Xenopus tropicalis: one gene and its partners. The protein of the gene in region 1 binds, or shares a complex with, the protein of each later gene. Links are inferred from orthologs where the notes say so. Each region holds a gene or a part of one and is shown in the gene's direction. Other genes may lie near its edges.

Region 1 (9,770 bases):
TCAGCCTCATCCTAATCAGGTAAGAATTAATTAAGTCAGATATTTTAGATATTCAGTCATGTCAACTGAACCGCGATCAATCTAGGCCTGGTTGGCATCTGTAATACGTCGCAAATACCAAGTAGCTTGTGCGCTTCAGTATGGAGTAATGCAGTGCAATATGTGATATACTCTGACTGCTGATCCTCTTACCTTCGTGGCTCATTAATTGCACCTACTAAAGCTTCTCTGAGCACTTGCACAGACTATGTTTGGGAGTTACAACCTAATCAGCCTTGATCTGACACCAAATTAAAGATATGCTAGCTTTGTCATGAAATTGCTTTTGGAATCTGCTTTTTGCATCCTTTACAGGTTTTGCAGCTAGGTTACAAGCATTTAACTGTCTGTATGCTGAAAAATGGCCTATGGGTTCAGTACAGAGTTGCAGTCTCCGCTGATGATAATGCTGGTGAATGTGTAGATGGTATTTGAACAAGCTGAGCAATAGGCCGGCATGGGAACTTGTCCTTAGAAAGTGAGAGGCCTCTGCTGTGCGCCTACAGCTGTTCAGCCGACTCTACCTCGGATGCTCTTTGTTTAATGCCTGCAAATCATATCACTGCTCAGCATGCAGAATAATAAATAAATAAGAGTAGCCCTCCCTATTCATAGCAAACACTTCCATTTATCTGAAGAGTGTGATCACAATATCTGAAGTGTTGCGATAATATACATGTGAGATGACACCTCAGTAGGGTCAGCTATTAAGAAGAAGAATTGTAAAGAAGTTTTTAGCTGCAACCAGGGCACAGCAGAGAGTTCCACTGCGCGCTCTATATGTTGTGTTTGTTTTTAACAAATCGGTGTGATGTCTCGGTGGCAATGCAGTCACTAGAACTCATATGTCTTCTGCAGTGCATAGAAATGTATCGATAGTCATTCTGGTGCCAAATATTTTATCTATATATGTAAAAGGATTCCGATTGAATGGTTTATTTCTGTAAATATGGAGCCTGTGTCAAAAGTGTTTGAACGTGGTTATTTTATAGAGGGTTCATGGTAGATTACATAGGATCCTCTGGCCATAACAGCATAGTTGGATAGTTTTGACTGGTTTAAAAAGATGGATTTTCATGACTCTCAAAAACGGCTTAATCCAGCCTGCTAGGTTTTGTCATGTATAGTAACAGAAAGCACTTAAAAAGTCCACTATTGAAATGGTGAAAATAAAAAGGAACCAAAAATGTTAGATCCTTTTTGATTGGAGCTCTATTTCACAGTTCTGGTGAGCATAAAGGAAACTCTGGCTTGGTAGTAGACATAAGAGAAAATAGAAAAACTGCAATAGTGCAAATATCATTATTAGCTGAACTTTACTACCTAAGTCAGTGTACTTAGATAAGCCAAAAGACAGTGTGGCATATAGAATGAGTATGGGCAGCTCTACATGTTTGGTGAGGGCCAACCAATGTCCTGTGGTACTTTGGCCAGTCTTACCAAGAGTCATGTTATTCATTAAGAATGATAGCATTTAAAGGAAAAAGAAAGGTAAAGTCACTTGGGGGTGCCAAAATGTTAGGCACCCCCAAGTGACTTTAACCGCCTACCTTTTACCCCGGGCTGGTGCCGCTGTCAGGAGAAAACAGCACCAGCCCGGGGTAGCTGCCGGCGCTTCCTCCTTCCGGCTTCGCTGCGCGCGCATGCGCAGTAGAGTGAAAAGCCGAACTTAAACATTTAAGTCGGCTTTTTCGCTCTACTGTGCATGCCCGGCCACCGGCAGTTTAGGAAGTGGAAAGCGGAAGGAGGAAGCGCTGCGCTCCAGGTGCCCCGGGCTGGTGCTATTTTCTCCTAACAGGGGCACCAGCCCGGGGTACAAGGTAAGCAGTTAAAGTCACTTGGGGGTGCTTAACATTTTGGCACCCCCAAGTGACTTTGCCTTTCCTTCCCCTTTAAATAAGTTTTACCCGCAACCTGCTTTCCAGCATTCATACTTGACAGGGATCACCTGACTGTGACTGGGAGAGTTTAAACATGAAGCTGGTTACTGCTATTGTGTTAATTATAGTAAAAGGTGGGAGTGTAAAGATGGTGTGACAAAATTTGTGACACAATCCTTCCAGCTTCTTTTTTACCACTGGTTCTTTGGGGCCTGGTGATACTTCACTGCCCTGCTCTGTAATGCCTTCATGGTGTTACTACACAGTACAACTAAGAGACTGCAAAAACCGTAATCTAGAAATTTTAGCAACCCAGTGGCAATGGATCTGATTTACTAACATGGCTAAATTGCACCTGAACAATTGTAAATAGCAACCAATCAACAATTCATTTGGATCCATATTATACAAGTTAAGGTGGCCATACACGGTGCAATCTGCTTGCTTGCCGAAGTCACTAAATTAGCAGATTGCTTCCTGATATGCCCACCTAAGGTGGGTGATATTGAGCTAATGTAATCGTTTGGCCCTAGGGTCAATACACAGCAATCTGTAATATATCGATATATATCGGCTATATGAAATACAACATATACTATTTCTTTTCATGTGAGTGTGGTTGGTATGTGTCTGTGTATGTGCCCTTGTCCAGAGAAACCACAGAAACAATGTGGCATGAGAAATGGCAGCTTGAGCCGCTTTTTTCACCCAGAATAGTTTTTCTTCTGCTTTTCTTCTAAGGTGTGAGGCAGCAGCTACTAATAGCTTTAACCACCAGAACAGAAATTTGCTTTTTGTACACCCTCCTTACAGTATTTTTCCTTATAGTTTTAAGGGGAAGTTTACATTCACACTTATTAGGTTAGTAAAAGAGTGCTTTGTGGCCTGTATGATTTATGTTGCGTGACATTTTGCAAGTGCAATGTGACCTGGCAGATTTGCCCATTGCACTTCCATTTTAATTTACTATTAATTTGTTTAGCCTTAGAGTGTTCCCCCCCCTTTGTATAGGTGGCATTACTGTTGGAAAACCAAGAAAATGATAATGGCCCTATATAACATCAAAAAGTTTATACTGGCTGCGCTAGTACACAATAAAGGTAGAGAAGAAAAATAAATACATGTGTTAATACATATACAGGTATGGCATCCATTATCTAAAAACCCGCTACCCAGAAAGCTCTGAATTTCAAAAAGGCCATCTCCCATAGACTCCATTTTAATCATATAATTCACATGTTTTACATAATTAACTTTTTCATCCAGGTATAGCTCCATATAAAATATTAATTTACTGTGACACAAATGTGATTCATTCTTTCCTCTTGTGGATCAGTTGAATGCTACAGTACATGGAATTTATATGGGTAAAAGACTGAACTTGACATGTGTCTGTGCCTTTTTGTACCTGAGCTACAATGCTTTTGCAGCAGTACATAAAGCACAGACTTGCAATGCAGTGACAGGGAAAAAATGTAAGCCAGATGCCATAATGCAGTTATTTACTGCAGGTTGTTGTGTCTGAACTGCAGTATTGAACAATAAATTCAGTACCATGCTGGTTTGTGTATTTTTTTCCAGCTTTTACAAAATGTTGCAAGGAGAGTGGCCTCCTGATGGTGGTGAAATGCCGAAATGAAAACGCAGCGCTGAAGGAGTGCCTGACTCTTCAGTAAGTTGACTTTTCTGTTTTGATATTTATATATAATAGCCTTAAAAACTGTGCAAACATTGTATAAAGTATAATAATAAAATAAAAAATTTTGGTTTCCTTTAGTGCAAATATCATACATGATTTAAACATGATTATTAACTAGGGACAGTCTTGTAATTCAGATTGCCTCTCATGTGCTAGCCCAAATAAAAATCCTTAACCCTGTAACAGGAAAACCCTCTTTCTTTATGGTTAGTAGATAATAGGCCATATATACTAAACAGAAATATCTGTAAGATTCCTTCAGTTATTTCCAATAGGGGTAGTTAATGAAGAATTTGCATACATTAAAAGCAGCCCTGTCAGAAAGGAAACAGACTTAAATGACACCTATCAGGCTAACAGAGGCTGCACTATTCTGCATGCTTGTGTCCCAGAATGGCCGCCCACACCAGGAGCTCCCTCACAGAGCGGGCGGCATAGTGCCGGGGGTGGAGAATAGTCTCCCCCAGTTCAAATGCAAGCTCTATTATCCCACATCTCTGGTGGGGGGAAACAATTTTCCTCAATACGTACCCTGTACAGTGTTGCAGAAATAGTATTGGTATTGATATGGAAGTGGTAACTGAGGAGAATATTTAAGGCTACATGCTCTGCAGTGGGGGGAAATTGCCATCAAACAGAGGGGATCCCAGAAGACTAAAATTGCCTGGAAGCTATTCTCAGTAATAGCCTAAATTTATAATGACTTTCAGCCAATCACAGGAGCAAGTCACACTTTCCTGTCAAATAGTATTCTGGCCTTTCTCTTTGTTATTTAAGATTTTGCATATACACACCAGACAAATATAAAGGGAATATGATGAGATTGTGTAGTGGCCCCTGACATAGAGGCAAGCTGAAGTAAAGAGAGAGAGGCCACTGTTTAGGCACATAAAGCAACTATATATATACATATATACATACATACAACCCTACATATATTCTTTTCCAACTGATAATGCCAATATCACAGTGAAACTTAGGCAAAAAAGGCATAGCTACTAGCACTTAACACAGTGATGTACACACTCCTGGCTGATACTTATACACAGCACCTGGATCACTACTCCGCGTTCTTCACTTGCAACTATCTCTGGTTCCATGAGCAGGGAATTGGCAGCAGAAAGGAGGCAATTCAGTTACAGAACAGGAGAGTAAAGAACTGGAACTTGTAGGAGAGGGAATTCTTCTGTATTATATTTTACATGTGTATATATACATCTTTTATTTGGAAACTGATTATCCAGAAAGCTCCTAATTACCAGCTCCTGTCTATTAAAGCAAATGATTCTTCTCTGTAATAGTAAAACAGAACCTTGTACAGCACAAACTCAGCAAAAAAAATCCTATTGGGTTTAGTTTATGTTTAAAAGATTTTTTTTTAGCAAATATGTGGAGGCATTTTTTCTTTTTTTAAATCTTAACTTTCCAAGATGTATTATGCAACAAAACTGGGACAATTCCGAAACCGAAAACGCTTTATCTAAAACCTGTCGAGATCATGTCACAGTCAATGGCAGAAAGATCCCTTATGCAGAAAACCAGGTCCCAGGCATTTCAGATACAGGTATGGGACCTTTCTGGAGCCGGAACTTTCTGGATAACAGGTTTCTGGATAATGCATCCCAAACCTGTAAAAGATCCCAAACTTGTAATTCAAAATGGATTCCCTATAGATGTACTGCTGCTTCCTTATTGCCATTGTGTTGTATTCTTATTCCCAAAGCTACAAAGATCCGGCTTTATATGAAGAATGCAAGCAGGAATATTTAAAAGAAAGGGAAGAGTTTCAAAAAACAGGAATCTCGTCAAAGAAAAGGCAAGAGAAAGTGCCAAATAGTATATAATCAAACTGTCTTCTCCTGAGTGTTTCCCCATTTCTAGTTTCTTATAATAAATGTTTCTTTTGTAAAAAAAAAGTTCTGTTTATCTGCTGCTTTTATTCTCGGCTTCTATATCCGCATTGAATTATTTTTGTTTCAAATAGGCAGGAACTCATTTAGGCAAATACCATGATGATATCTATATAGAAGTGTTTGCTGTAAGAGTTCTACGTGCCGCAGTATGGGGCAGGGCCGAGACACATACGGCCGAGCACCTTATTGGAATGTGTGGAAACTTCAGTACTTTTCCTGCCCCTTCATTTGATTTCAGTTTGCTAAAGTATTGTGGCTATATATTTTAGCCGTGCTCCCATAGTTGTGTCTGTGGACATGGGAGGGTACAAAGAGAAGACTGCAGCTTTAAGTTGCACACCAGAGTAGAAGACTGCTTTGTGTAAGTGCAGATATACAGTAAGGGACATACAGTATTAAGGCATAGGAATGGTAGCTTATCTGAAAGTGTGTGCAAAGATGGAGTTGATATCTATATATGACAACTGTTTCACAGAGCACTATGGGAAATGTAGTGTTTGGGGAAATGGATGGAGTAGGTTTACCCCTTCCCCTATTACACCGATTTATAGCGAGTGTGTAACACAGTAAGTAGGCTTGATAAAGGGTGGTTGTCTAGCCTTTGGCAGAAATAAAATTCACCTTTTTCACCATTTCAGAGTGCTGTACCGTATTTTACTTTGTGAATCATCGATTGCCCCTGGCAGTGGGGACGAGCCTGAACTCACAATACCTATGTATCACTGCTTAAAGGTGTTGTTCACCTTTAAATTAACTTTTAGTATGACATACACAGATATTCTGACAATTTGCAGTAGGTTTTTCTTTTAGCTATTTAGCTTTTTGTACCACAGCTCTTTGTTTGGAATTTCAGCAGCTATGTGATTGCTAAGGCCTTGTTTACCTTAGTACTCGGGAAGTGGTTTGAATTAAAGACTGGAACACGAATAGCAAAAAAAAAAGTAACAATAACAATAAAATTGTAGCCTCACAGAACAAATGTTTTTTTGGCTGCTGGGGTCAGTTTCCTCCCATTTGAAAGCTGGACAGATGCAGAAGAAATAGGCTAATAATTAAAAATTTATAAAAATTAAATAATGAAGATAAAGGACATTCTATAACATACTAAAAGTTAAATTTAAAGTGAACCACCCTTGTAATAATTAATTCAACATTGTAAAAAGAAATATTTCATGACCTGCATGACTAAATGATCCCCCAGATCTGGAAATAGAGTATCCATATGTGAACCAATCTGCTTAATTTCACGTTATATTGTTTTACACATGTGAAGGTAACCGGTTTGTGTCACATGTCCATGCTGTAGCATTATACTCATGTAGTATCAGCTCTGGTAAAGTTTAATTTAAAGCTTGCAAAACATACAGCATGAGGCGTTATGGAGCAAAGGTTGATATTAGTTTAGCAAACAAGACCCTGAGACTAATCCAGTTGCTAGTGCCGGGGTTAGAAATGAGCTGTCCCCAAGCTAGAAATATATTATATATTGTTTAAATAGTTCATTGACATGGAAAGGCTTTTCCTTAGCCTTACTGTTTCATGTTTACTAAATCTGTCAAGGTGCCTTATGGACAGACATTTTTACATTAATACACGACCATTAGACAGATTGGTGGCTTAGTGGGAAGCACTTCTATGCCTTGCAGCGCTGGGGTCCCGAGTTCAATCCCAGCCAGGATACTATCTGCAAGGAGTTGGTATGGTCTCCCCATGTCTGTGTGGGCTTCCTCTGGGTTATGTGGTTTCCTCCCACACTCTAAAAACATACAGGCAGGTTAATTGACTACTGACTGAATTGACCATGGTGTGTGAATGTTGTTAGGGACTCAGATTGTAAGCTTCTCTGGAGCATGGACTGATGTGAATGATAGAATGTTATAATATAAGGGGTAATAGCTCCATAATAAAATACAGGTATATTTCTAAACAAACAGCTGCTGCTGGATATAGAGTATGTATGATTATATTGAAGTCTATGTGACTTCTAATGCTATGACTGTATCATTAGATGTAGGATCTCATTCCACAGAATTGTGTCCAAATATAAAAGAACTGTGAATATTTTTTTTAATGTTCTCTATGTTATAGAAGGTGTGTGTAAATATTTAGTAGCAGTGACAATAATGCAATGAAGATCTGGACGTAATTTGGTTACACCGACCTGCTTGATATCTTACAAAAGAATTACAATAATTTTTTCAATAAACATTTTATTGTAGAGGTTTACAGTGTTAATGCAAATAAACGTATTTACAAACCAGCATATATTATATTCTGTATCTTCTATCATAGTCACGGACATCATTACACAGATAGCTAATAAACCACATCTCCTTGTACACTTCAACAGACAAATAAAAGTGAACACTATTTATATGAGCAATCAGGCCTTTCTCATTGCTTTTGAAGAGCGTGACCAGCTGACTAATTATATAAAAAAAAAACCCAGCAAGCTACATTAGTGATCAGAGAGAATGAGTGCGGCCACCAGAGAAATCCTTGCTTCTGCTGTGTTATTACACAGGTAGTTGATTTTATCAGCTAAAGCCTAGTGAGTAGGATTTGTTTTATGCATATTGGCTTGTGTTCTATTATTGTGCTGTAGGCTGTACTCCCTTGGGACTCAGCTCTATTCATTGGTCACAATGCGTTTCAGCGTGTCATACCATTTGCATTACTTACAGACCGTAGGCTCAAACATGATCAGTGTCTACAAGAATCCAGCGGAACAGTACTATGATGTTTGTGAATACTGGTTGCCAAAAAGAATTTCTCTGGTTTTTTTAAACCTGCTTTCAAGCTTCCGGATATCCAAGCAGGAACATTGTCAAAATGTGCAACTGCTTAGCCAGCATGAGAATATTCTGGAACTAGTGCCGGCTCTATCGCTTAGAAGGTTCTATCATTAGAATGATAGTTCCACTTTAAGGTACCGTGCCCTATAAAAACGAGAGGTCAGCAGGTTGTGCAAATATACATACTATGGTAGGCGCAAACTGCCTGAATCTGATGGAAGTTGCATAGCCCCACACTTCAGGCCAACCAATGAAATAATGCTAAGCTAATATACAAATAATATAAAACCTCCAGTGTGCTAAGTGCCTTTGAATTCCAAGTATTTAATGAACAGATCTCAAGGGAAATGTAGCCTTAGGTTGGCCGATGGCTTCCTTTCTAAAAGTGGTGACTGTAGGCATTGGCTAAACATATTTTTCTGTTTTGACACAATAATACTGATCTTAGGGCATCACATGTAAATTTGTCAGAACAGCCTACAGAAGGAAGACTAGCAACAATTAGGGCATACAGTCTGGTCAGCTATAGCAACCATTTCTACAACAAACATAACAAGTAAAGAAGAATACCAAGCACATCTGGTGTTTCATTATATGTAGCACAACTGGACTGGCAATCTGAATTCTGGCAAATGGCAGAGGGGCTACTGTAAGTCACTATTTAGGGGGCTGTTTGTGCCTTGTGTACTGGAAATGCCAGTGCCTATTTTGAATCTCAGTCCTAGCCTGACACATACTATCTGCAGCTTTTGAGGCTGACACGAGCTTTAAACTGCATTACTCTTATAGATATGACAAGATCATCAAGGCAGTAAATAAAAAGAGTGCCCTACTCGGGTCTATCACAATTTTGTCAAATTATATTTTGATATGGCATATAGGGAAAAAAGTAAAACTAGGCCACTGAAAGCAACTGACTATATTTTTTGTGCTTATTCTCAATCAATATTTTCATCTGAATTCTGAATCACTATTACATTTTGTAAAGTAACATACAATTGCAATAAAAATATAAAGTTAGTATATTTTCTATAAGCTATTTGCACCAGCAATGGAATGGTTAAAAAAAAAAAGAGAAGGCATGATCTTTAGTAAAGGTACTTTTTACATGTGGAGAGCAGAGGCCAATACAATACAAGTTGGGGATCTAGGGAGTGCAAAGGTTCCTTAGCAATCATACAATAATCATGGCTGCTTTTTAGTATTCAGCCAACCCTCATACCTACTGTTTAATAATATCCCATGATGTCAGTATAAATCCTAGCATTAAATATACCACTTATTATGTTATACATATATATTAAATATAAATGTTTCTCAGTTTTGTAGGATACTGTGCAAATTCAAACGCTGCTTACTCAACAATTCCAGCTTACTGATTGGATCACTCCCCCCCACCTCATGCTCTTCTTTGTTGCCCAATGATTCCTTAGGGCTCATGTTC
Region 2 (10,719 bases), on another chromosome or scaffold:
GTAGAAACAATAGGATTTCTACCTCCTTCTGCCGATTCAGCTCTGAAGGGAGAATTTTGGTCAGGCGCCTTCTATGGCGCCCGATCAAAATTTTCTAACTTGGCCGATCGGCGAGCCGACCGATTTCAGCAGCTTCCTGCGATATCGGTCGGCTCGCTGACATGCCATACACGCACCGATTATCGTACGAAACGAGGTTTCGTACGATAATATCGGTGCGTGTATGGCCACCTTTAGGCACCTTATCTGACAAAGTTTGGGCATGCCTGACAGGCCTACCTGAATGATATGTGGCATAAGATTGGGCAGATATCGATTGGACAATTGATTTTCCCTTCGGATCAGGGACTGCATCGCCTCATTGATGTGGACTTTGGTCCAATGAGATATGGGCATACAAAGCGGTTCACAATGTGTATGGCCACATTTAGGGCAGTGACACACAGGGAGATTAGTTGCCGCGCGACAAATCCTGGTTGATGTCTGGCCCCGCGGATGGCATACGCCGAAGTTTCCTCTCAAGGCAACTTCGGAAAATCGTGGAGCCGCGTATGCCATCCCACTGGTGATTTACATTCTAGCCGGTGGGATGGCATTGTGGGGAGATTAGTCGCCCGCGACAACGGAGATTTGTCCCCATGTACCCCTGCCCTTAGGCAAAAGCAAAATTGTAATTACTTTTGATTTGTGCAGTTTTTTCAGTATTTGGTTTCCTACTTTGTGTCGACCTAGCCTTGAATTTTAACTTTTGGTTTAGTTTAGGGTTAGTGACTTCAAAATGATTGTGTGACTAAAGAATGTAGTTGTGTCTGCTAAGCGTAGTTACAGTCACACAAAGCTAGCCACAGTTGTTGCGCAAATATATATCATTTAATAAAAGTTCTTGCGTCTAAAGATGCACTTTTGCACAGTTTCATTTTAAAATGCTTAGAAAAAATGTTGCAAATCAAACCTAGATTTTACTTTTTTCCCAGGGACATTTTTTTATACTTATTTACTGCCAAATTTGTCTGAATGGCGCTTTTGTAAATTCTTCATTATGTACAGGCAGATTATTGGCTCCTGATAGAACTGATTTCAAACGTAGTGGACACCAAGCGCTCCGGACTCCGGGGTCTCTCATAAAATCAAATCTTTATTGTTGCATTAAAAGAAGGAACGCCTAACGCGTTTCGTATGCCAAGCACACTTATTCATAGGCTTAAAACAACTGTACAACAAGGAAGTGTTTAAATAGCATATACAGAGTGAATGACATAATTAGCAAGCTAATTCACCTGAAAGGGGGCGGAGAAATGCAAATCCGCTCAAACACATCCTAATGAAAAAAAAAAACTTTAAACAACTTTAATGAAACTCAAGAAATGACACACAATACTAAGAGAACCCCACTATACAGATATATATATAATAATAAAAATAAACAAATTCACTCTCACAGGTGTACTAACATGCAAATATCCCAGAGAGACTATTACATAAACACTTTGCAATGATTTACAAGAAGTCAGCATATATTTAGTGAACTAGTTCACTCTCATGCATGTGCAAATAAATATCTTAAAAAAGTCACGATGTAACTACCCTATAACAAGTTACAAAAGATCAAAACACTGATTCTGGTTAGAGTTATAAATACTATGATCAGCTAATAAAAGCTAGATAAGTCAATAAAATTTGTAAGAAATATAATACGAAAATAAAGAACAAAAAACAATGATGTAATCAGACTAGCAAAATGAATTACCGGTAGTATACAGAAAACTAAACATAGCAACTAACATCAAAAACTGAATTCAACCCTCTCGGGTGATGTGTATCCAAAATAAAAATCCATTTAACTTCAGACCTTAAGAGCTTTGCATACATATCAGTTCGTCTTTCATCAGGAGTTATTTTCTCTATAGCCTGGATCTGTAAAAATGTTACATCCGAATTGCTACACTGGACAAAGTGCCTAGATAATGGACTATTGCCATCTGTTGCTACTATGTGTCTTATATGTTCCCTCATACGACATTTTAAAGACCGAGTTGTGCAACCAACGTACTGCATTCCACATTTAGAGCAAGTCAAAAGATAAACCACGTATCGTGTGTTGCAATTAGCATACGACTGCATATCATAAGATCTACCAGAATAATAAATAAAGATTTGATTTTATGAGAGACCCCGGAGTCCGGAGCGCTTGGTGTCCACTACGTTTGAAATCGGCTTTTTTTCCCCTTCAGCTACGGGTTCGGGGCCCTGAGCACCCGGACCAGCCAGGGATACCGGTGAGCTATTTTGACTTGTACTGACTATGCTTGACCATTGTGTTCCTTGAACAGCATTTGCGATACGTCCGGGGTTTTTACACCCGGACCTCACTGTTTAGATTGGTACGGATTGTATTTTGGGAATTGGAGCATTTATTATCATATGCAGAGAAATTTACTTTTGTTTTTCGTTTTTGTTTTACTTTATATGATATATTATCTTACCTCTTTTTCTTTGATCCTGATAGAACTGACCTTACTAATATGGCCTTATTTATCAATTATCCAGTTTGTGAATGCTAGAGTTCTTTGCTTATTTATTAAATCAGAATATGAAAAAGTCGATTGAATAAAAGTCAAAGAAACTCAAAAATCTAAAAATGCACTTACTAAACTAATGGCAGGTTTTTGTATTAAGAACTGGGGCAACAGATGTAAATACTTGATTTAAGATTTAAAAATACCTGTCCTGATTTTTAGTTTTTGCATTGTTCTGTACAGAAGTATAGCTATGGAAAATGCCCTGGGATTTGCTTGGTTACCAAGAATGCGTGTAATATGACAGTGTTTCATGTTCAGAACTTTGGTGCTGGTATTATGCTGGTACAAGTGTTGGGGAGGTCATGTTTTCAGTCTATCGATTTCTGCATTTATCTTACTAGCATGTCTAGAATAAATGAAATCCTTATTGACTATTTTTGCAGTGATCTTACTGTCTTGTCTGAAATAATGTAATTGTCATTGTCCATTTCTAGAGCAGTCTTACTGGCGTGTCTGTGGCTAATGTAGTGCTTATTGGCCATTTCTACAGTGGTGTTACTGGCTTGTCTGGGGTTAACAGAGTTCTCATTGGCGATCTCTACAGTGGTCTTAAGCTGGCCATACACGCACCGATAATATCATATGAAACCTCATTTCGGCGAGGAGGAGGCTGCTGATATCGGTCGACTTGCCGATCGGCCAGGTTAAAAGATTTAGATCGGGCGCCATAGAAGGCACCTGAGCAAAATCTGCCGTCAGGGCTGAATTGGCAGAAGGAGGTAGAAATCCTATTGTTTCTACCTCCTTATCTGCCGTTTCAGCCCTGAACGGTTAGTGGCTGATTGAACGATCTTTCGTGCGACCGATGACAAATCGCCATGTGTGTGGCCACCTTTAGGTTGATATACTGATTATTCATTTTCTGTAGTGATTATACTGGCAGGTCTTGGGTTATTATGCCCTGATTATATTGACATGTCTGGGGTTAATACGCCTGTGTGCCTAGGGTGGTAGCTTTAGGGGGGTGGTCCTGGGGTGCTTATATAATTGAAAAAAATAAATAAAAAACTAAAAAACCTCCCCATTAGGGTTGCCAACTTTGCCAGAGGGGACGGGGCAGACGGCATTGGGGGTCGAGCAGTGATCACAATGATGTCAGTGATGCCGAAGTGGGGTTACTGCATCATTTGATGCAATTGGCTGGATTTCTGTCCAGTTTTCTCAGTGTTTTCAACTGGAGAGAACTGAACAGCCCTTTAAAAAATTTGGACGTCCATTCAAAACTCTTGTTTCAAAAGTGCCCAGGGTGGCCTTAAACTTAAATACAGCCCTGTCCTTTATCCATTTTATCTTGTAATTATACTGAAACATTTGTGGTTTATATGCTCCTTATCAATTGTTTGTGGTTATACTGACATATTTCAGTTAATATAATTAACTTATTTAATTATTATTTAACTTTTATTAATTTAAATGTTTTGTTTATACTGACATGTCTAGGGTTAAAATAATCTTTATCCATTTAAGGGATTATACTGGCACCTTTTGGGTTAATTTACATTTCCTTTTGTAATTATACTGGCATGTCTGTAGGATGTAAAATAGGTGTAGTATGTAGGGGTTGGGCCAGTTCTTTTTACCCCTCTTTATATTTTTTAAATGTTGGAAAGTATATGCTCAAATCTGTATATTAGCAGACGTGACAGGGGCATGCTTGGTGCACTGCATGGAAGGACAAACTTTGCTTATGTAGCATTTTTTTGCTACTTATTTATTTTACATACCAAAATTTGTAAAGACAAAAGAGTCATTTACTTAGGCAAACCTTATGCAGTACATGCAGTAAGTCCTTTCCTACCACAGCTGATGTATGTTCTATTTTTAGCGGAACCAAGGTAATAGAACTCTGTTTCCTCAGGTTGGGGAAGAGTTCAAGCAGAGCTCTAGTTATTAGCCAACCAGAACACAGCTTTCGTTAGTACTTGCTATATTGACAAATCATATCGCATAACACATCCACAGAAATGATTGCTGCCCGTGTCCTTGTTGCTTCCTGGTTTGCCCTTTTCTCCCATGTCTGACAAGGCTGCTTTGTGATCATGTCCAAAAACACCAGGATAGTTCTCATTTTCGGTGGTTTTGTCACTGCAGTGGCAGCAGCTTTCTACCCTATATTCTTTCACCCGCTCATGCACATAGATGAATACAGTAAGTAACCTGTAACTGGTACACAAGGAGAGCATCATTGCTACTGACATGCCAGTACTTCACATGGACACCATGATAGTTTTTTATTTTAAAGGGAATATAAATACGAGCATCGGTATTATATGGATTTATGTTATTTTAATTAATTACTTGTTCTCAGTTTAAATACTAGTTGCCAATAATTGTTAAAGGGAATTTAAACCCCAACACTTGTATGTGTTGTACATGTGATTTGTACATGTTGCGGATGACAGCTGATTAACAGCCCTGTAATAAAACTTGTGATGCTGCCTTCTGCAACATTATTTCAAGAGTCAGAACCATAAGAGTGAAGACACATGGAGCTACTAGTAGCAGCTACTTGTCACGGCTACTAAAACAGACAATGCTGATCATTTACTGATAACTGTCTCTACATGTGTTTTAGCAGAGGCAATTCTCAGTATTGTCTATGGCAGGGTGTTTAGTAGCTGTGACAAGTAGCTGCTACTAAGTAGCTCCATGTGTCTTCGCCCTAAGGGCTCTGGCACACGGGGGAGATTAGTCGCCCGCGATTAACTCCCTGTTCGCGGGCGACTAATCTCCCCGAGTTGCCTACCCCTGCCATCCCACCGGCGAACATGTAAGTCGCCGGCGGGATGGCAGACGCGGCGGCGCGATTTCGCGCAAGTCGCCGAAAAAGACTTGCGAGTCTTTTTCGGCGATTCCCTGAAACTGCCCCGCCGCGTCTGCCATCCCGCCGGCGACTTACATGTTCGCCGGTGGGATGGCAGGGGTAGGCAACTCGGGGAGATTAGTCGCCCGCGAACAGGGAGTTTTATCGCGGGCGACTTATCTCCCCCGTGTGCCAGAGCCCTAAGTGGGACAGAAAAATACTTGTGATTAAACGTACAACATTTAGTAACCCATAGCAACCAATCAAAAACATTAGCTGACCAGTAGATGCTGCCTGCTGATTGGTTGCTATGGGCTACAAGAGTTATTTTACCCCACTCTGTCTTCAACGAAGTGTAAATCAGTTCTTTGCGCACAGGTTATGGCATTAACTGTTATTATGAAATAGGTTGCAAAATAAATCTGGTGATGATAAAGGGATATTGCTCCATCTTTTTTCACAATGAAATTTTGAAGGGACACTAGCATCACTAAATACAGTTTGTATTTGTGTCTGAAAACAATGCGCAATATTCATTAAAGTGTATTTGTAAAAATGATTTGCAGAAAGGGATGCTATTTTTTCACTGTCTATTCACATATTCACTTTACTCTATGTAGATTTATCATATATTAACATAACCTATAACAGAATTATGTAGTACAGGTATGGGATCCCTTATCTGGAAACCCCTTATCCAGAAAGTTCTGAATTACGGAAAGCCCATCTCCCATAGACTCTATTATAAACAAAACAGTACCTTGTACTTGATCCCAAGATATAATTACTCCTTATTGGAGGCAGAACAGCCCTATTGGGTTTATTTAATGGTTAAATGATTCCCTTTTCTCTGTAATAATAAAACAGTACCTGTACTTGATCCCAACTAAGATATAATTACCCCTTATTGGGGGCAGAACAGCCCTATTGGGTTTATTTAATGGTTAAATGATTCCCTTTTCTCTGTAATAATAAAACAGTACCTTGTACTTGATCCCAACTAAGATATAATTACTCCTTATTGGGGGCAGAACAGCCCTATTGGGTTTATTTAATGGTTAAATGATTCCCTTTTCTCTGTAATAATAAAACAGTACCTGTACTTGATCCCAACTAAGATATAATTACCCCTTATTGGGGCAGAACAGCCCTATTGGGTTTATTTAATGGTTAAATGATTCCCTTTTCTCTGTAATAATAAAACAGTACCTGTACTTGATCCCAACTAAGATATAATTACTCCTTATTGGAGGCAAAGCACTCCTATTTGGTTTATTCAATATTTAAATTATTTTTAGCAGACTTAAGTTATGGAGATCCAAATTACGGAAAGATCCCTTATCCGGAAAACCCCAGGTCCCAAACATTCTGGATAACAGGTCCCATACCTGTATTAATATCATATTTTGCAGTCTGCCACTAGGTGGTGCTGGTAGGTAACTCTGACAGCATAGAAAGCTTTCTGTTAAAAACCCAGAACTATGGCATTGCTGCGAAAATGCCAGATGCTGTTTAACAAGCTCTGAGGATTCTTCAAATTCCCCCCTAGAAAAAAGAAAAAATCTTTGTGTAGACATAGACTTCATAAAGGGGTAGTGCTCCAACAGGGGTTCGTAATTTGGGATTTTGCTGAACTCACTTTAAGCCTTTTGTTTTAATCACAAAATCAGTATAGTTTATGTTATTTCTTGAGCTTAACAGGGAAATATAAACTACTTCATGTTTGGTTCTTGTGAGGTAGATAATAGATACCTGTGCGCAGTTAAGCAGAAGTCCCTTGTGCAGGGAAATTATCTGTGCACTTGTTTGCATGTAACAGTTATTTCCAGTGAAAGCAGTGTGCACTACATAGTGTAGTCCATATCAGGGCTGTGGAGTCGGAGGCAATTTTGGGTACCTGGAGTCGAAGTCGGAGTCGGCAAAAAATGAACCGACTCCGACTCCTACTAAATTTAAATGGGAATAAAAAAAAAAAAATAAAGCAAGTTTAAATGTCCCAATTCACAAACAGTCATAATTAATTGCTTCTCTGCTATAAGAATAAAGCCCAATGCACGCAGTGCATAAACGAACACGTTGAGTGACCATGAAGCATGCTTTTCATTGACTGTATGAATGTATAAAATACATTAGCATATTAAAAACAGAGGAGTCGGAGTCGTGGAGTCGGAGTCGGAAGTATCAGAAACTGAGGAGTCAGAGTCGGAGGATTTATCTACCGACTCCACAGCCCTGGTCCATATAGCCTACCCCATAGGAAAACATGAAACATTTTAGCTGAATGTAGCTTGTTTAGCTGTACAATATATTAATTATTTGTCTGTTTGTATTAGAGAAAGAGCAAGCTGTAAACCGAACTGATGTCATCCAGGAAAACGTACAGCCCACTGGTAAGTAACTCTTATATATATAAGTTACAAAACAAAATAAAAGTTGCTTGTTGTCTGTTTGTTGGGTGAAAACCATCCCAGGATTCATTCCTGTGTGTTTATGTATCTGCAATGAGCTTAATAAGACTAATACAGGTATAAGACCTGTTATCCAGAATGCTCGGGACCTGGGGTTTTCCAGGTAAGGGATCTTTCCGTAATTTGGATCTCCACACCTTAAGTCTGCTAAAAAAATTATTTATACATTAAATAAACCCAATAGGATTGTTTTGCCTCCAATAAGGATTAATTAACACGCAGTTGGAATTAAGTACAAGGTACTGTTTTTTTATTACAGAAAAAAAGGAAATAATTTGTAAAAATTACAAAGAGATTTGCTTAAAACGGACTTTCAGATAATGGATCCCATACCTGTACTAAATCCAGTGTGTTAAATCAGTGATTTTCCTTCCCCTTATTTGCAGGGTTGCATGAATATAGGAATGAAAAATAATTACAAGTAGTACACCCTGCAGTATTCAGTATTGCAGTTTTCAGCAAATTTGTAAAATGCACAGGTGCATAACCCATATAAACATCAGCTTTGGTCAGAATAGTGCTTGTTTGTTTAGTCCTCTGAAATGATAATTATGATTATAAATTAGAATTATATACCTCACTTCTATTGTCACTAACAGTAAATTACTATTCCGTTTATATTACGGTTTAGAGTGTTCATTTCCAAAAATTATCATTCTTTTTAGTTGTCCTGGTCCTGGAAGTTTTCCAAGACACCTATGTTGGGCCCCAGTGTTTCCTTGGGAGAGGTATAAAAGGGACATAGCTACAGCCGTACATACAAATATGCAGGGAAGGAGACACAGCTTCAGACATTGTTACATAACACTGATGGGTCATTTAGACGTGATGTTGTTTGTGTTATTTAAGTCACGATGAGCGTTTTTCTTGCGCTATTTTCCGTGCGTTAACTCCCGCAATATATTTTGCCGTTTGCTATATTAGCGCACAATTTAACGCATGTAACCATTACGTTCATAAAACTACTTTGCAAAAAGCTCACCAACCACAATTTTCTTTTAAGTACCGCCTGCCCCAAGTAGGTGTTAATCTTCGCACAGACTAATGCGATATTTAGCGTGTTTATTGCTTCATATGTGTTTGTGAATCATGCGTTAGTATTATTTCTACGCGCGAATTAACGCATCGCAGTAGCGCGTGATTTAAGGCATGCAAAATTACTTTGACGAATGGGTTGTTATTTATCGTGTCATTTTTAATGCAAAATACCATGTGATAACGCTTATCGACCTTTAGTGAATCAACCCCTTAGTATGTTATAGAATTGACTATTTATAGCAACTTTTTAATTGGTCTTCATTTTTTATTTTTTAAATTATTTGCCTTCTTCTGACACCCTCTTTCAAGTGGGGGTCACGGAACCCAGCAGCCAAAAACTATTGTTCTGTGAGGCTACAATTGTATTGTTATGGTTACTTTTTATTACTTATCTTTCTCTTTAGGCTCTCCTCTATTCATATTTGTGTGTCTCTTTCAAACCACTGCCTGGTTGCTAGGTTAAATTGAACACTAGTAACCAGATAGCTGCTGAAATTCCAACCTGCAGAGCTGCTGAACAAGAAGCTAGATAATTCAAACTCCACAAATAATAAAAAATGAAGACTAATAGCAAATTGTCTCAGAATAGCACAATCTACATTATACTAAAAGTTGAATGAAAGGTGAACTACTCTTTTAAGCACTATATGTACAGGATTGATGGCTTTGTTGTGGCCCTAGTCCATATAAATAAATGTATGTATGTAAGTATATTTTTATATAGTGCTAGTTGTACACACAGCGCTGGATTTATGTAAATAAGAATGCTCTGTGTATACAGTAAGTCAGATACAGATCAAAATGGATCATGGACGCTACTTATAAGTGGCATAGATGTTGCCTGTAATGGATTTGAAGTATTCATCTTCTTTTGTATTATGTTGTTTGTACTTTGTTTGGCAGTAAGTTTATAGACTGCAAATCTCAAATGAACCACAGACTGTAAACATTATTAGACATTCCTTTTAATATGGATTCTGCGACGTTGCCAGAGATCACAGCAGCATTGGACAAGATTAACCCTACATGCCTTATATGGAGCTTGTAACATTAATTTGGGGGTTATTGCTGTTTCCTATATCTTCTATGGAAGGAACACACAATGCCATTTGAAAGTGGCAAGGCCAGCACTAAAAGAGTTAAAGCTGTTTCAGACTGTTTGTCTAATTTCCCGTATCCAGTGTGCATTCATTTTACTATTTTTTTTTTTTTTTACAGGCTTGAAAGTGTGGTCTGATCCTTTCTCCAGAAAATAAAATGGAATGTGGCTTTGTGCCGTTACTCTGGAAGATGTGTAAATTGTGAAGAATACGCGAGCCTAGTCTTTTGTACAAAGTATAAATAAAGCAAATATTTTCATTTTTGTTTCTGATCAAGTGGACAAATAACACAAAAATGTTTCTGATGTCTCTCCATAGTTTTCAGTTTTGTCCAGTGTTGTAATGTTTGTGGAGAAGGCATCCCCCAGGCTGAAGTGCAGCTGTCCTGCACTGGGAACTGTGACAGAACACTGTATTTCATTGATTTACATGATCTTTGCTTGAATACGTTTCTCCAGTACATTAGAGGACAACTTCTTTCTATTGAGCTCAAGCTTCCTGTGTCGCAAATTTCTAAAACTATACTCTAACCTCCATATGTGATAAAAGGCTTTAAGGAGCAGTAACCTATGGGTTACTGCTCCTGGGCAGACTTAGTGCCTTTTTTATTATTTTTGTTATTAATAACATGTATTTATAAAGCGCCAACATATTCCACAGCAGTGTGCAATCACTGGGTTTATACATCGGACATAAAGAATAACATACAAAGCAACTGTTAATCGATACAA
Region 3 (10,767 bases), about 52 Mb from region 1:
ACGCCAGGCAAATTAAAATATAAATTCTAGCATCTCAAGCACAATATAAGCAGGGCAGTGGGGACTATGGGTCCCAAGCACATTGTATACAGTGAGAGGCAGTAGGGATGGCAATTAAAAGCACATTATATACAAAGACAGTAGGCACTGGCAACCAACTTGCCTAAATGATAGTTGATCCAGGGAAGGCAATTTTTCCAATTTGCCTCATATGGGGAAAAATTCCTTCCTGTCTCCCAAGATGGCAATCAGTCCAGTCACTGGATCAAATTAGTAGTAAAATACTATATATTTTCAGTGAGTCTGTATTTTCTCACTTGAAAAAATGCCATTCAACCTCTTCTGGAAGCTAATGGCATACCTTGTTATCCAGTGGCCTCTGCTTCATTCTATTGCCTATTTGTCTAATCTTCCACTTTTCTTCTTTACTTCACTTTAAAAGACTAATTCTCTTTTTGTAAGTTTTTGCCACCTTCTCTCCTAGCCGCTTTTATATTCGACCCTTCCTCCTATCAATTTAATTTCTGTGCTATCCCTGCCCAGCCTTTGCTCCTTTTCCTTAAAGGAAAAAGAAAGGTAAAGTCACTTGGGGGTGCCAAAATGTTAGGCACCCCCAAGTGACTTTAACCGCCTACCTTTTACCCCGGGCTGGTGCCCCTGTTAGGAGAAAATAGCACCAGCCCGGGGTACCTGGAGCGCAGCACTTCCTCCTTCCGCCTTCCACTTCCTAAACTGCCGGTGGCCGGGCATGCACAGTAGAGCGAAAAAGCCGACTTAAATGTTTAAGTTCGGCTTTTCACTCTACTGCGCATGCGCGCGCAGCGAAGCCGGAAGGAGGAAGCGCCGGCAGCTACCCCGGGCTGGTGCTATTTTCTCCTAACAGGGGCACCAGCCCGGGGTACAAGGTAAGCGGTTAAAGTCACTTGGGGGTGCCTAACATTTTGGCACCCCCAAGTGACTTTGCCTTTCCTTCCCCTTTAAAATCATATACATACAGATATGGAGTGTGCCCATTACATGACCTTTACTAAACTATCCCACAAGGGATTAAGCATATAATGTATGTGCATAACTAAGAGTTCATTTTTAATATATACAAATGTAAATAAAAGCAATCTGATATGTACATACTAAATGTTTTTATTTCATAAAAGTTAACTCTTAGTTATGCATATACAGTATGGTGTATAATAGGTCATGTAATGGGCACACTTCATAGCTGTATTTATATGACTCCTTTATCTACTTCTTTAATGGCCTCCTAAACCCCCCACCCAAAAGGAATATATGCACACACAAGCCAGAAGGAAGGAAGCATCAGTGATCAAAAAAAACTTCTTTGACGTCTTGAGTCCATCACTAGCAGCACACTCATAGCCAACTTCCAATTTCAAAATTTTTTAAGCAGCTTGAAAATATTTTACAATTGGTTAGCTTGAGTCAAGCCTATGCTAGCGGCAGCAATTTCTGAAACCGGGGAGAAAAATTCTGACTCCTGTGGCCCCCCTAGTTCTGATACAGAGTGCCATTCTACAACAATTTTTAATTGGTCTTCATTTATCTTTATATGTAATTTTTGAATTATTTAACTTTTTATTCAGCAACTCTCCATACACGGTTTAGTGTGTTTAGGAACTGTTTAGTTAAGAAAAAAACTTTGTTAATACAGTGGTGTGAAAAACTATTTGCCCCCTTCCTGATTTCTTATTCTTTTGCATGTTTGTCACACAAAATGTTTCTGATCATCAAACACATTTAACTATTAGTCAAAGATAACACAAGTAAACACAAAATGCAGTTTTTAAATGAGGGTTTTTATTATTTAGGGAGAAAAAAAAATCCAAACCTACATGGCCCTGTGTGAAAAAGTAATTGCCCCCTGAACCTAATAACTGGTTGGGCCACCCTTAGCAGCAATAACTGCAATCAAGCGTTTGCGATAACTTGCAACGAGTCTTTTACAGCGCTCTGGAGGAATTTTGGCCCACTCATCTTTGCAGAATTGTTGTAATTCAGCTTTATTTGAGGGTTTTCTAGCATGAACCGCCTTTTTAAGGTCATGCCACAACATCTCAATAGGATTCAGGTCAGGACTTTGACTAGGCCACTCCAAAGTCTTCATTTTGTTTTTCTTCAGCCATTCAGAGGTGGATTTGCTGGTGTGTTTTGGGTCATTGTCCTGCTGCAGCACCCAAGATCGCTTCAGCTTGAGTTGACGAACAGATGGCCGGACATTCTCCTTCAGGATTTTTTGGTAGACAGTAGAATTCATGGTTCCATCTATCACAGCAAGCCTTCCAGGTCCTGAAGCAGCAAAACAACCCCAGACCATCACACTACCACCACCATATTTTACTGTTGGTATGATGTTCTTTTTCTGAAATACTGTGTTACTTTTACGCCAGATGTAACGGGACACGCACCTTCCAAAAAGTTCAACTTTTGTCTCGTCGGTCCACAAGGTATTTTCCCAAAAGTCTTGGCAATCATTGAGATGTTTTTTAGCAAAATTGAGACGAGCCTTAATGTTATTTTTGCTTAAAAGTGGTTTGCGCCTTGGAAATCTGCCATGCAGGCCGTTTTTGCCCAGTCTCTTTCTTATGGTGGAGTCGTGAACACTGACCTTAATTGAGGCAAGTGAGGCCTGCAGTTCTTTAGTTGTTGTCCTGGGGTCTTTTGTGGCCTCTCGGATGAGTTGTCTCTGCGCTCTTGGGGTAATTTTGGTCGGCCGGCCACTCCTGGGAAGGTTCACCACTGTTCCATGTTTTTGCCATTTGTGGATAATGGCTCTCACTGTGGTTCGCTGGAGTCCCAAAGCTTTAGAAATGGCTTTATAACCTTTACCAGACTGATAGATCTCAATTACTTTTGTTCTCATTTGTTCCTGAATTTCTTTGGATCTTGGCATGATGTCTAGCTTTTGAGGTGCTTTTGGTCTACTTCTCTGTGTCAGGTAGCTCCTATTTAAGTGATTTCTTGATTGAAACAGGTGTGGCAGTAATCAGGCCTGGGGGTGACTACAGAAATTGAACTCAGGTGTGATAAACCACAGTTAAGTTATTTTTTTTAACAAGGGGGGCAATCACTTTTTCACACAGGGCCATGTAGATTTGGAGTTTTTTTTTCTCCCTTAAAAACGTAAACCTTCATTTAAAAACTGCATTTTGTGTTCAATTATGTTATCTTTGACTAATAGTTAACGGTTTTTGATGATCAGAAACATTTAAGTGTGACAAACATGCAAAAGAATAAGAAATCAGGAAGGGGGCAAATAGTTTTTCACACCACTGTATATAGGCTGTGCAAAATGAAAAATGTATTTAATATAGTTCATTAAATATAATGTGTAAAGGCTGGAGTGAATGAGATAGCCAGAACAAAACTTCCTCGATTGAATCGCTAACCTTTTATTCAGTCAGCGACTAGAAGGGAGGCCACAAGCTTCAAGCTTAGGCAGAAACAAAGGACGTGTGTTCACCCTTTATAGATTCAATTTTTGGCTAACTAAAACTGAAAACATGTTTTATTTTACACAACTGATCAATTCAACCACTTTTATTTTTACACTGAACTGTTCCTTTAAGGAACAGTAACAACAAAAAATTCAAGTGTATAAAAGAAATTCCAATATAATGTACTGCTGCTCTGCACTGGTACAACTGGGGTGTTTGCCTCAGAAACACTACTATGGTTTATATAAAGAATGCAGCTGTGTAGCCACGGGGGCAGCCATTCAAAGGAGAAAAGGCACTTAGCAGATAACAGATAAAACACTATCGTATTATACAGAGCTTATCTGTTATCTGCTATGTAAAGGTCCCCATACACGGGCCGACTATAGCTGCCGATATCAGTCCCTTGGACCGATTCGGCAGCTAATCGGCCCGTGTATGGGCAGAACAGAGCTGCCTGGCCGACCAATATCTGCCCTGAAATTGGCCAGATCTCGATCGGCCAGGTCCCCGAACCGACTGCACCATAAGCTCAAATGTAATCTGATCGTTTGGCCCCAGGGCCAAACGATCGGATTATTTTTTTTTTAAGTCCCTTGCTACCCGATATCGCCCAGTAGGTGGGGATATCGGGTGAAGATCCGCTCGCTTGGCGACATCGCGGATCTTACAGTGTATGGGCACCTTAACTTGTGCCTTTTCTCCTTTTTTCCAGCTTGAATGGCTGCCCCCAGCAGCTTATTATATATATATATATATATATATATATATATATATACACAGCAGCTTATTATATATAAACTATAGTATAGTTACTGTAGCAAACACACAACTTTTACCAGTGCAGGGCACTAGTATATTATATTTTATTTACTTTAAAACTCTTTAATTTTTTGGTGTTACTGTTCCTTTAAGGCTGATAAAAGCACTTTTTAATTAACACACTTCCTCCCTATTGGCCCATGCATGGATCTGTTCAGACAGCCTGTCTGACCAATTTCTGGTCAAAAATACTTCTAATATCTATTGGGCAGGTCAAAATTTCAGCCAGATGAGTGCTTAACACATTGTGGTCCTCCCCCAACAGGACTCCATAGGCCTGCCCTACGGCACAATCATTTGCCCAGGGACCATATAGCAGACAGATTTGGCCCAGCCTGTGGGTGGCTTTAAACTAAGTTTTAAGACTTTATAGACATCTTGATGTTGCAGCATGAGCTGAAGGTGTCTATGGTAGAACCCATATAATACACACCTGGCTCAGCTGACTGCTGTACTGACAAACAACTAGGCTACTTCCAATGCAAGCCAAACCATCCATCAAGCAAGTTTTATTTAGAACAGAATTATTAAAATGTGAATTTTTCATAAAAATATGTTTTGGATGTTGGAGGAAGAATAATACCACAGAATTTAAATAAAAAATAATAGTATACATGTAATATATATTAATTACCACCAGTTACCACAGCACCGCAGCACTCATTTGTTTCTTGCCCCACTATTTTACTGCTAGCAATCCTTGAACTCCTACACGTTCCTTCCCAGTTCTGTGTACAAATTGTGCCTTGAATTATTAGGTCTCCAAGGCCCAATAAAAGCACTATAACTTTCTTCATAGAGAAAAAAAACACAAATAATGTGTCAAACAACTTCTCTCCCTCACACTGCCCCACTCACCGCTCTGTCTTCGGGTCCGGCTTTTGGTTACTCTTGGAAACCAAGAACTGGGTGGAGTGTTGGTCACGTGACAAAAAGGGGGCGGGATTAGACGAAAGCTCTCTAGTTTACTTTGCTTCTCTCACGGGAATAAAATGGTACCAAACAGAATCTTTGCAGCGGGTTACCAGATACGTGATAGATAGCTGAATCACATAAGCAAGTTTATAATTGTATTATACAGCTTTACGCCTTATACATGAATACAGATATACGTTTGCAGACTTTAGGAAAGGCAGTTGCAATTTGCCTTTCGTGACAATGGCTAAACAGCAATACTATCTCTCCTTTGTCGTTTAAGCCCCTGCTACAGGTCAACAGGTGTGAGCCTGTCTGTTCCAGGCGAAATGCTTTCAGGGACTTGTAGTCCTTATGCTTTCAACAGTCGTAAGAAAACATGGGGAAGTCCTCCACTCAGAACTCAAAGTCCCACAAGCAACCGCGGTTTCTTTTTCATTGATTGGAGAAATATATGTGTAGGGGGCGTAGCTGAGGAAGCGGCAAGGCCTGTCAATTCCATGTGCCCAGAGTAAGGGCTAGCTGCGTGCCAAATTATAAACCGTGGGCTCTGAGTGAGGGGCCACTTTAGTCAGTTTACACAAAGCACTGATAATGCACGGACTGTGATGTATGTGTTGGCAAGAGGGGTACAATGATGTTGCCTCGGTGTTTGCGGAGAGCGGTCCTGTGTAGTTCTAGGGCACTGGGGTCACCTCGATCCCTGACTGTACCCTGTTACAGAAACCTCTCATGTCTGCTACTTTCCCAGCAGCGGGCCCTTGCTGTGCCAACAAGCCGGTTCTGTGCTGAGCGGCCCATAAGCACGGGCAGTGCTTTGCTACAAGTGAAGGACAAGCGAGTGTCTGTGCAAAGCAGAGGTGACGGGGCGTCTCCACAAACTGCTTCTCATAAAGGTATTTGACATTATGAATCCTGTGGGTAATGCTAATCCCATAGTCTCCATGTCATGCTTCCATTGCAGTTTGTGATTTGGGAATGAGTAGATTTGGCAGCTCTTCTGTCTTACAGTACGTGCAAATGAGTCTGGCCTTTCATATATAATGTAGGAAGGGCTTTGAGACTTTAAATTTAATTTATATACAGTGTTATTTATTTATTAACATTTATTTATAAAGTGCCAACATATTCCGCAGTGCTGTACAATAAGTGGGTTACATACATTGGACATACAGAGTAACATATAAAGCAATCAATAACCGATACAAGAGGTGACGAGGGTTATCAATGTATGTATTCTTTTGTAGCTCCACTAGTTAAAGGGTGGGTCACCCCACCCCACTCTTAGCATGGCTAGTTCTTAGCACCTTTTCAATTTGTTTTAATTTTTGATCATTTTTTAATTATTTGTTTTGCTCTTCTGACTCTTAACACTTTCAAAAGGGGGTCGCTGACCCCAGCAGCCAAAAAACTTTTACTTTTTGAAGCTACAATTTCATTGTTATTGTTACTTTTTCATGCTTATCTTTATACTCAGACCCACTCCCATTCATTATCCAGTTTCTCATTCAGACGACTGCCTGGTTCCTAGGGTAATTTGGAGCCTAGCAACCTTATAGCTGCTAAAATTCCAAATTGGAAAGTTGCTGCATATCAAGCTAAATAATTAAAACACCACAAATCTTAAAAAATGAATTCGGAATTCAGAATCACACTCTCTACAAAGTACAGAACGTTAATTTCAAGGTGAACAACCCCTTTATATGTGATATATAGACTCTTATGTAAATGTGTATAGGGATAAAGTGTGACATTTCGTGGAACATTAGGTCATGGTAGTTGTCAACATGGTCATCAAACAGGCTTGTGGCTATGATCATAGTCCAGCGATATTAAATTTGCCAATATATACATATTCATCAGTCTTAACTAGTATACAGCTCATAAGTTGGCATGGAAACAGACTTAGCCAAATACCTGTTGTTTTTTCCTTTAGAAAAATCTAGTTTTCCTGCTCACCTATCCTAATCCGGCAGTATTCAGGGCAGCACGTGAATAGACATCCCAAATGTTTTACACCTAATGACTTTCAGACTGGTTTGACGGACGGTATGTGGAAATGATCATGGACCCCTATCAGAACTTTTGACCCTCCCCAAATAGGGCCAGTTCTAAGAAGCTCTGGTATAGAGGGCTTATTGATGTATATGCTGTTTTGTGAATTTGCAAAAACTTTTGGTAACTTTTATTATTTCCAGTAAAGATATGGATGATTCAAGAGCCAAGTTCTCAGGTTGAACACATTCCAAGTAGAGAGAGAGCATTGAATTACTTTATTTCCGTAGATGCTGGGCTACCTATGGGCATTGTTTTGAATCACATCCAGAAAATCTGCTGTTCAAAATTAGTTGTTGGAAGGAAACTTACATTTTGCCATACAGTTTTGATTTTTTTCAACACCTACAACACAAAACAATTCCCTTAGAGAGCTCAGTTTTTCATGTCATAAAAAGAATGATTAATAGAGTTGCTTTCAGGTTTTTTTTAGTGAATTGTTTTTTCTGTCAGAAACCTTGAATCAAGTCTTGCTCTGATTGCTGAAATCTGCAGTTGATTGCAAAGAAATGGAGCACTTGAAATCAAACTTTTGATCAGATTTAATAGGTTTAATAAAAACTCTATATGTACAGTATTTGAAGTTTTATTTTCTTAAGGTGGCCACACACAGGCAGATTAAGCTGCGGATTTGGGCCCTTCAGACCAATTTAGCTTATCTGCCAGTGTACAGGCCTACCTGACCAACATCTGTCCAAAAATCTTTCAGATGTTTGGGCACCTTTGATTTTTCTGTTGGGTCGAGGAGCAGCACTGGCTCGTTAAAACAGCCCTCATCCCAGTGGGCTGTATCCCCGTCATTGTGATCTGATTGTTTGGCTCTAGGGCCAAATGATCAGATTAGCCCAGTATTGCCCACCTTAGGTGGGCCTATTGGCAAAAGATCCGCTTGTTTGGTGATCTTGCCATACAAACAGATCTTATAATGTAAGGCTAGCCTTACAGATGCATTCTTGGTTTATGTCCCCAATAGAGGGAAAAAATTAAGGCATTTGAGAGCACCGCCCTGCGCTAGTTATATTTGCTGCCATATGTACCACCCATCAGAACAGCAATCAAAATGTAAATGTTTCACGCTTTTTTTTTTCTTTTGCCACCTCACACCATATTGGATATATACTGTCAAAAATTCTTTATGCCTAATAAGCTAAGGCAGTGCTGTCCAACTTCTGTGGTAGCAAGGGATGGTATTATTCTGGCCTATGTGCTAGAGGGCCAATCATAACAGCCAGTTTTGACCACTCCGCTTTTTAAACCACACCCACTTCAAACTACACCCATGTTATCACAAGAGCTTTTAACACCATACCCACATTAATGGTGATAGCACACAAAAAAAAACCAAACGGTTGGTGTTCACTGCAGAGATATCACCCATAAGTCATATGTGAAAGAAGTGGATAGAACAGTCACCCAGCACATAATTAAACCCTTCAGGGACCCTTTAACAACTTTTTCCTAATGCTGACAAGCTCCCAGAACAGGCCCCCGCCAAGTTCACCTCCCACAGGCAGGGTAGGGCAGGCAGAGTATGGCACACACAGACAGCATAGGCAGGCAGAGTATGGCACACACAGGCAGCATAGGGCAGGCAGAGTATGGCACACACAGGCAGCATAGGGCAGGCAGAGTATGGCACACACAGGCAGCATAGGGCAGGCAGAGTATGGCACACACAGGCAGCATAGGGAAGCAGAGTATCGCGCACACAGGCAGCATAGGGCAGGCAGAGTATGGCACACACAGGCAGCATAGGGAAGCAGAGTATGGCACACACAGGCAGCATAGGGCAGGCAGAGTATGGCACACACAGGCAGCATAGGGCAGGCAGAGTATGGCACACACAGGCAGCATAGGGAAGCAGAGTATGGCACACACAGGCAGCATAGGGCAGGCAGAGTATGGCACACACAGGCAGCATAGGGAAGCAGAGTATGGCACACACAGGCAGCATAGGTAAGGCAGAGTATGGCACACACAGGCAGCATATGTCAGGCAGAGTATGCCTCATAAAGGCAGCATAGGGCAGGCAGAGTAGGGAAGGATACAGTAAAACCTACCATATCAATGTAAGTAACTCATCATGACCACTTCAAGATGAACAGTTTATAGATGGAGGAGGAGGTGTGAATAGGTGAACAATGCAAGAGTTTACATGTCTTAGTCTGAGGTGTGAACAGTGCAGGAGGCAGTTAATCTCAATATTGATACCATTTAAAGCTTACATAAAGGTAAGCAGTGACAACAGCCAGATAGATGGGGGTCACACAAGGGGGTCTGCGGGGTGGCAGTTGGACAGCACTAAGGTTTTTAAATTCAGACTGAAACATGTGTCTAAACTGCTACCTTTCTGTTCAGTATGTGTATTTTATGTGTTTGTTTTAAACGGATAAATTGGCACTACTAGCACTTCCAATGACTGGTGATTGCACCTGGAAAACAAATACTAGGGTGAGAGAGAAACAAAGAGAATAGTTCTTATTTTATTTTTCTATAAACCATATTGGGTTTGGTGCATCCCTATTTTTATTGTTCAGAGTGTATTTTATTTGTGAATTAGATTTAAAAAAAAAAAATTAGATAGTAGATGTGTTGTCCAATTGATTGTAGGGTTTTATAATTTATTTTCATTTGGTTTAATTCAGTTTACATGACATCACTTAATGACAACTTTGTCTTTTTTAATTTCAGTAAAAGAAGCTGGCAGAGACTTCACATATTTTATTGTGGTACTGATTGGAATCGGCGTTACAGGTTAATTTGCTGCTTTTTGCGTGGCCTAGTAGTAGCATATGTCTGTTCCTATTTATTTGCAATACTTATATTTATTTGTTGTATAATACTTATATAACAGATAATTGGCCTACATTTTTTTTGTTTTTTTACCAGTTTTTCTGACATTAAAGTTTTAAAAACTAATTGTATTTTTCCCCACCACTCCAGTTTCTCAGTAAGTCAGATCAATGACTTTCTATACAAATATAAATTATACATTAATTAATACATATCGCAGCCCCTACTAAGCATGCTTCCAAAACATAGGGGGTAGTTCACCCTTAAATTAACCACTTTTCAGATCAACTATTTATTCAACTAATACCGTATATACTTGAGTATAAGCCGATCCGAATATAAGCCGAAGTACCTAATTTTACCTAAGAAAACTGGAAAAACTTATTGACTCGAGTATAAGCCTATAGGGTGGAAAATGCAGCAGCTACTGCTAAGTTTTAATAATCAAAATAAATACCAATAAAATGACATTAATTGAGGCATCAGTGGGGTATATGTTTTTCAATATTTATTTCAAAGAAAAACAGTAAACTAGCTGTGTAAGTGGAGAAGAGGGTCAACAAAAACAATATGAGTTCTACCCCACGCTCATTGCACATTGGCAAACTGGCAGCAGACCCAGTCCCGGAGGAGATGTAAGGGGAAATAAGTATTGCTAGTGGGAGCCTAGGCCAGGGCCCTGGAGGGTCTGGTTGCGGGGGGCCTAATTTGCACACAAAGGAGAGAGGGT

The links.
Region 2: cmc1 (region 1) and smim20 share a complex: the UniProt entries of both Homo sapiens proteins name them as parts of the MITRAC (mitochondrial translation regulation assembly intermediate of cytochrome c oxidase complex) complex. The link is inferred for Xenopus tropicalis from reciprocal best matches to the Homo sapiens genes CMC1 and SMIM20.
Region 3: cmc1 (region 1) and timm21 share a complex: the UniProt entries of both Homo sapiens proteins name them as parts of the MITRAC (mitochondrial translation regulation assembly intermediate of cytochrome c oxidase complex) complex. The link is inferred for Xenopus tropicalis from reciprocal best matches to the Homo sapiens genes CMC1 and TIMM21.

The regions. Positions count from the first base shown.
Region 1 is NC_030682.2:48,479,938-48,489,707, forward strand, and holds the end of cmc1 (COX assembly mitochondrial protein homolog), read left to right. Parts: intron 1-3,500; coding exon 3,501-3,591; intron 3,592-5,341; coding exon 5,342-5,462; 3' UTR 5,463-5,534; downstream 5,535-9,770. UniProt on the Homo sapiens protein: Component of the MITRAC (mitochondrial translation regulation assembly intermediate of cytochrome c oxidase complex) complex, that regulates cytochrome c oxidase assembly.
Region 2 is NC_030677.2:31,910,010-31,920,728, forward strand, and holds smim20 (small integral membrane protein 20), read left to right. Parts: upstream 1-4,534; 5' UTR 4,535-4,618; coding exon 4,619-4,727; intron 4,728-7,715; coding exon 7,716-7,772; intron 7,773-10,106; coding exon 10,107-10,144; 3' UTR 10,145-10,293; downstream 10,294-10,719.
Region 3 is NC_030682.2:100,289,819-100,300,585, reverse strand, and holds the start of timm21 (mitochondrial import inner membrane translocase subunit Tim21), read left to right. Parts: upstream 1-5,804; 5' UTR 5,805-5,823; coding exon 5,824-6,085; intron 6,086-9,935; coding exon 9,936-9,998; intron 9,999-10,767. UniProt on the Homo sapiens protein: Participates in the translocation of transit peptide-containing proteins across the mitochondrial inner membrane.